2 linked regions of the Coturnix japonica genome follow. The protein of the gene in region 1 interacts with the protein of each later gene in a pairwise test. Links are inferred from orthologs where the notes say so. Each region holds a gene or a part of one and is shown on either strand. Other genes may lie near its edges.

Evidence for each region. The genes of interacting proteins can lie anywhere in the genome.
Region 2: the proteins of COPS5 (region 1) and protein S100-A9-like interact in a two-hybrid assay, tested with the Homo sapiens proteins (2 studies listed by BioGRID). The link is inferred for Coturnix japonica from reciprocal best matches to the Homo sapiens genes COPS5 and S100A7.

What each region holds. Positions count from the first base shown.
Region 1 is NC_029517.1:104,436,219-104,440,481, forward strand, and holds the start of COPS5 (COP9 signalosome complex subunit 5), read right to left. Parts: upstream 2,909-4,263; 5' UTR 2,542-2,908; coding exon 2,387-2,541; intron 2,275-2,386; coding exon 2,040-2,274; intron 29-2,039; coding exon 1-28. UniProt on the Homo sapiens protein: Probable protease subunit of the COP9 signalosome complex (CSN), a complex involved in various cellular and developmental processes.
Region 2 is NC_029540.1:1,212,532-1,215,330, forward strand, and holds protein S100-A9-like, read right to left. Parts: upstream 1,477-2,799; 5' UTR 1,348-1,476; intron 1,271-1,347; 5' UTR 1,267-1,270; coding exon 1,114-1,266; intron 854-1,113; coding exon 644-853; 3' UTR 527-643; downstream 1-526.

The DNA of each region.
Region 1 (4,263 bases):
AGCCAATTGCATTTTCTAGACGACCAACCTAACAGCAGTGAAGGAAAACAAATCCAGTGATGATCCTCATTCGTAAAGCATGGGCTGCCCTCTACTGAGCCTTCCAGCACACTACAACGCAGCAAGAGGATAAAAAGAATATACACAGCCTGTATGCTAACTTGAAATATTCAACATGCACTTTATTTTGCTTAACTATAAAAGAAGTTCCCAAATAATACTCCGGGATATCTCAGCAAGTACCCCAAACAAACAAACAAAACCAATCAAAATTGATTGTTAATCACGGTGAATAAACAGCCAGCGCACCTAGTTTATTGTAACTGGCCAAGAACTGTGTACTGGCTGATCAATATTGAGTGAAAGGATTTATGTACATCCTACATGGCAGTGTGTTCAATGCATTCAGCTGCTTGGTTTTGCCAAATACTGAGCATACCAGGAAGGTTAAATCTGGAAACTATTAAGAGGGACAGAACACACGATCTACCCAACTGAACATTTGAGTCGTTGAAACAAATAACATTTTTCTTTTAACTATTTTATCATCAGATCCTGCCTATGGAGGAGCAAGTAATTGCAACATTAGCTTCTGTAGAGCACTTATGCAGAGTGCTCTTATTATCAACATGTAATCTAACATTAAAAAGAGTTACTCCAGGACAAAGTGCTTTCCAACCTCAGATGTGAAGCAGCCAGGACGCACTGTCAGAGCTCCAGTAAAGCTGAGTTATTGTTTTTGCTTTATTTTCGTATCATGAATTCTCCCATATAAACCTGGGCTGTTCTAAAAGTCAAATGAACTAACCGTACATGTAAATACCGATGCCATGCTCTATACTTAAGACAATTTTTCTACCTAAGAACTGGGTAGTACAAACGTATCTTCAGATATAAACACCCTTTCATTTTCTATACTTTTCAGTAAGAATACAATAAATCATTACTTTAATAATATATTAAAGTAATAATAATATAAGTAATAATATATTAAAGTAATACGTTAAATAGATCACTTAGAAATTTTCTCATAAAGAAGCGTGATAAGTTAACGAAAAACAACAAAAAAACCCACCACAGGCCTTAGAACATCCTTACCTTTGGGCTGTATTTACTCTCTTCTGAAGTCACGATCCAACCTAATTTAGTTAAATGTCCTTAAACCCACAGAAAGCTGTGACACCTCTCCAAAATAACCTAAATAGTTGTACCTTTATCTACACTATGTAAGGACCCTCTAATTTCAGCTGAGTTAAAATACTTTAAGGATTAATGACAAATCAAAGGGTAAACTAGGCCTCAAACTATTTGAGCTTGGACAGTCTGAGGGATTCCAGTGCTTATTTGAGCCAGCAAGTGCTCATATGCCATGTCAGCTTCTGCATCAGCCACAGAGCAGATTAATATTTCACAGAATCACATAGTTGTATGGATTGGAAGGGACTTCTGGGGATAACCATCTAGCCCAACCCCTCTGCTAAAAGCAGATTGCCTATAGTGGGTCAGAGGAAAACATCAAGCAGGTTCTGAATATCTTCAGAGGAGATTCCACAACCCCTCTGGGCAGCTTGTTCCAGGGCACCATCACTCTGATGATAAAGTTCTTCCTTCTGTTTGTATGGAACTTCCTGTGTTGCAGATTTGTTTTGTTGCTTCTTATTCTGTTGCTGCATACCACTGAAAGGAGTCTGGCTGTGTCCACTTGACTCCTACACTTTAGATATTTATAAACAGTAATGAGATCCCTCAGCCTTCTCCAGGCTGAACAGTCCCAGCTCTCTCAGCCTTTCCTCATGCAGGAGATGCTCCAGAACCCTCATATCTTAGTGGCGCTCTGCAGGACTCTCTCCAGAAGCTCCCTGTCTTTCTTGAACGGAGGAGCCCAGAACTGGACAGAATACTTCAGCTGTGGCATTACTGGGGCAGAGAGGGAGGACCACCCTCCCTCCGCAATTGAGAATTTTACTGCACTTTCAGACTTAAGACTTCCAAAAGCAAGAAGTTAAGAGCAACGCCATATCCCCCCCACCGCAGCATACCTGCTTGGCGTTCTCGATGTAGGCGGCCATGTACTCGTAGGCGGCCGCCTGCGCGTTGACGCGGGTCTCGGTGCCCTCCACCGGCAGAGCGAAGCTGTCCATGATGATCATGGTCTCCCCGTCCACCTTGCCCAGCATCAGCCCCATCACCTCCAGGTTGCCCCCCGAGCGGGCGTGCATCACCATCTTCAGCAGGGCCAGCGCCGAGATCTTGCAGTACTTGAAGTAATGGTGGCTGCGGCGGGACAGAGGCCGATTTAGCGCTCAGGGCCTCTCCTCGCCTCGCCTCGCCTCAACCCCCGGCCCCGCCGCCCGCTCTCCCGCCCGCCCCACGGCCCCGCTCTCACTCCTTAGTCCAGGGTTTGGCCGCCAGGATCTCCTGCTGCTGCTTGCGGTCGTACTTGTAGATCTCGTCGATGCTCTGCGCCTCCTGCATGTTGTTGGCCAGCTCCCACGTCTTCTGCGCCATCCCGCTCCCGGACGAGCCGCTCGCCGCCGCCATCGCGCCCCGCGCCCGCTCCGCCCAACCCCTCCGCAGCCGCAGCGGCCCGAGCCAGGCCGCGACTCGCCGGGCGGAACGGGGAGCTGCTGCGGTCCGCGCAGGCCCGGGGAAGCCGGGAGGTGGAGGCCAAGCGGCCGGGCCGGGTCCTCCGCGGCGACAGGCGGCGCTAGCGAGAATGAGCTCCGGGACGGCAGAAAGCCGCCCGCCGGCTTCCGGGGAGGTGGCGACCGGCGCGGGAGGCGGACGGGGCTGTGTGTGCCGGTGAGCGGCGGTGCGGGCGGGTCAGCGCTCGGTGCTGCCTCGCTCCGTTTTGCCCCATTCCCGGCTCCGCAGAGCGGAGGTCGAGCGTCCGCCCCGGGCTGCGAGCGGGCGGCCTCGCTGTCTTCCGCGGGGCTGAGCGGCGGGGAACGGGATGGGCCCGGCAGGCGGTGCGGGGAGCGGGGAACGGGGGAACGGGGGAACGGGGCCTGGCCTGGCCTGGCCTGGCCTCTGTGTGCCCTGTGTGCCCGGTGGGGGCGGTGGGGCGTTGTGCGGGAGCCGCTTGTTGCACGGCCGTTGCCTAACAACGGAGTAACGCTGCTGTGAGGGGCCGGGCCTCCGCCCCGCCCCGCTCCGGGAGCAGTCTGAGGAGGCGGAGGGGGTTCGCTTATGGGGAAATAAATGTGAGCCGTCCCTGAGGGATTCCTCAGATTAATTAGGTTTTGGGTCAGAGGAGGTGGACTGGAATCCTAAATGAAGTCTTAGGGTGAGAGGAGATGACTCAGAACTCATTGGCTTGGTGTTTTGATGGATGGCTGCCTTCACAGTTAGGAAAAGTCATACTGTTTTAGTTAATTGTGGGCGTGCCTGTAAGTGCAGTTACTGAACGTGGCGTGTAGGAGCTTCTTGAAGCACTTCACTCCCCTGCCACCCCTGCTACAGTCTCCGTGGAGGAAAATTGCCATCTGCCAAGTTTTCTGGATATTTAGAATTATGATAGCACAGCATATAGCGTGTCTGATCACAAGTGCTGATTTTAGATCCTATGCATTGCTTCCTTGAAGAAATACAAGGGAAAGGGTAAAAAGGAATGCACTGAATGTTCCCCGAGGTAATGAAAGAGATGTATGATGCTCTTTCCAATATACTGACCGTGTATACAAATAGGTGGTTTGAATGTCTCGAGAATGGAGACATGCATTATTAATTGTGTTTGGGTGTAGGTCCAGCGTCTGTATCTCTGGCATTTGAGCATGGCTTTTTCTCTGTGCTTTGCATTGCCTGCAGTATGCGATTAAGCAAGCCTGGTTTAGAACCTGCTGCCATCAATAGGAATGATTGCAAGGGTCTGGTCATTCACACCATTCGTTCTGACACATTGCTAAGCCAACATCGTACTGTTTTATGTAGCACTTAAGTTTTTTATGTTGACAGGTAAATCTGGGCAGCAGTATAATAAGCCATTTTCTCTTGTCTGATGAAACTTGCAGTCCTTCATGCAGGGATTTTCCCTGCTGTGGGTGCTGCACTGTGTAGCTGATGCCACCAATTCTTTAAGTTGATCACCATGACAGGTTATTCACTCAGAACAGGCATTTTATTATTCTTATGTAACTTAATAGGCTCAACGAAACACATCGGTGCCTGAAATCTTACCATCTTATAGATACCTTTGATCTGTTATCACCGTCCAAAAGTAATGAGATTAAAGCTTTAGCACAAATCAGATGGGGAATTTATTTT
Region 2 (2,799 bases), on another chromosome or scaffold:
TCCAAGGAGCTGCCACCCTGCACAGACAAAGCATGAGGCTGCACAGTGCAGCACTGCACCCCCAGAGTCCCTCTGCATCATTTGTTGCCCCTCTGATGCATGGTGGCTTGCAGGAAAGTGCTGCTTGCTTTGTGGGCTGCAAAAGCATCACCTCCACTTCAGGGTTACCAGCTGAGTTGGGTCTCAGCAGCACCCAGAGATCCCAGATTGGGGCAGGAGGGGCTGCTCAGGACACACAGTGATGAGGTGTGGGGTGCAGGGGCCAAGCAATGCTGTGCAAGGGGCTTGTGGATCTGGTGGGAACCTACTGGGGTGTGGGCACTGCAGGACACAGCAATGCTGCCACATGAACCAGCCCAGCATGAGCTGTGCGCTGCTCTGCTCCCACTCAGGGAACAGTAGGATGGATGGGGATGCCCTGTGTATTCCCGTGTCCCCATGTCTCATTGATACCCCATGGCTGCAGGCTGGGCTGGAACATGTCCCATTCCCCCCCTCCCTAGAGTGCAGGACACATCACAGTTGAATTTGGTGCACAGGGAAAGACAATTTATTTCAGTGTCATAGGCAAAAGCAGAAGGCACCCCTTGGGCAGATAGGGGTGATGCTGCTGCTGGAGGAGGGCAGCTCTGCAGGAACAGCCTTAATGGTGCTGACTGTGGCCGTGGCCGTGGCTGTGGCCATCTCCATGGTCGTGGCCATGGTCCCCAGGCTGCTTGTGGGACCGGTTGTGGGCATCGATGGCCACGAGGCTGAGCGTGGTGAGGAACTCGGTGAACTTCAGGCGGCCATCGTGGTTGCTGTCAGATTTGGCAAAGAGCTGCTTGATGTACTCATCAATGGACACGTTGGGCTGCAGGACAAAACGAGTCAGGGCATGGGGTCCCCCACAACCCCACAGCTTCATCCTGGCTCCCCACTCCCCATCACTGACCCCATTTTGGGGATAGTCCACCCAAAACTACCCAGCTCATCCTCCATCCCCTTCAGAGGGTCTCAATCCCCCTCAGAGGGTCTCAATCCCTTTCAGAGGGTCTCAGCTCCCCTGTGCCCCAGGAGAGCAGCACCCACGGATCTCCCACAGGCACGTGGATGCTGAGCAGCCCAACTCACCGGCACAGTGTCAGAGAGGAAGGGTTTGGCATTCTCCTTCAGCAGCATGGAGAACTCATTCCGGCTCAGGTAATCATCCATTGGGTTCCGAATGGCGTATTGGTGGTAGATATTGATGGCGCACTCCAGCGCGAGCTCCAGGTCGGTCTTCATCACACTAGGGAATAAAAACCAAGCAAACATTATAGATGAAGCAGAGCCCTCCAGGAGCTCCAACTGGGGGTGACCACTCACCAACAGACGGTCGTGGGGTTCCTCTGACAGCGGTGTGAGCAGGATTGTGGCTGCGGCGGTGGCTGCGCGGTGCTGGGAGGGCTCTTTTATACCCTCCCTGAGTTACGATTTATGACACCTTGGAATAACTTTGGGGTGATAACCTCAGGAATTGTGCAAGGCCATCGCGAAGAACGCAGCACGCCCAGGATCATGCCCAGCTCCGGTAAGCGACTGCTGCTGGCGGTAAGGAGGGAGGGACACACATCAGACTCGTTGGGGCAAAACAAGGAAACACCGAGTGAGACCTTTGCAGGGAGCCAGCTGAGCAGGTCTGTAGGGCTGCAGGGGATTCCCCATTTGGGGTTCTTGGTGGAGATGAAGAAAGAGGGGTTTTGCTGGAGCCTATGGGACATTGTGGGTGAGGGTCTCCATAGGGTGATGGTGGTAAGACTGTAGATGTGGTTCATTCCAAGAGGGATGTGGTGTCTGCCCTGATGTTTGGTTCTGGATGGAGATGGTTGCCCCCCTGCCCAGGGCTGCTGGGGGATACATCCCAACCCGGTCAGCAACCAGCATCCCATGTCAATCAGTCCAGCAGACATCAAACCTCTGCAGATTGGGACATGCTGAGTGCTGGAAGCCTCCCAGGCAGAACTTCCCAGCAGCAATGATTGCTGCCTGATGACAGCAACTGTTGGCATTGGCATTGGCAATCAATGCCAACTGCTCCTCCCAGGGTCATGGCGGTGTCACTGCTTGTGGGGACCCCACAGGGACCCGGTTGTGGGGCTGGGAGCAGAATGCTGTGTGTGTTAGAGGGGAGAACCCCCTTGGGCAGCCCCACCGTGCAGTGCTGGAGCCCTTTGCCCTATCCTTGCTCATGGGAGGGCAGAAAACCCGTGATGCCCATTAGGGATATTAGGAGATGGGAAGGATGGAGGTGGTGAAACAGCTTCTCTTCACACCTCCCTCTCCAGGAGGAACTTGTTCCAGGAGGAACATGGCTTGTAAAATGGTGAAACAAAGAGCAGTCTGTGTGAGGAGCAGGATACGTGCACCTCCCTGCAAAGGGGTCCCTGCTGGCGTGGGGATGGAGCAGCAGTTCTTGCAATAAGTGGCAATAATTGCGTGTCTGGCTGGGCAGGATGCAGGGACAAATTTGCACCTGCGTGGGGATGCGACATGGATGCACAGCTGGGGAGGTGCAAAGGGACACATGTAACATATGGGGAGGTGTGAAGGGACACGGCGGTGCCACGTGGGGGTGGGAGGAGACAGGTATGCCCTATATATGTCCATGTCCCAGGTGAGAAGGGACACATGCATGCACACACTGTGAGCCCCTGGCTGCCCTTTGTGATGCTGCTTTGCTGGGTGCTGCTGTCCCGTTGCCATTGGGGTGGAATGGAGATGGGGATACAGCAGCAAGGTGGGTGCAAGGCATGAGCAGAGCCAGCAGGGTGGGATGCT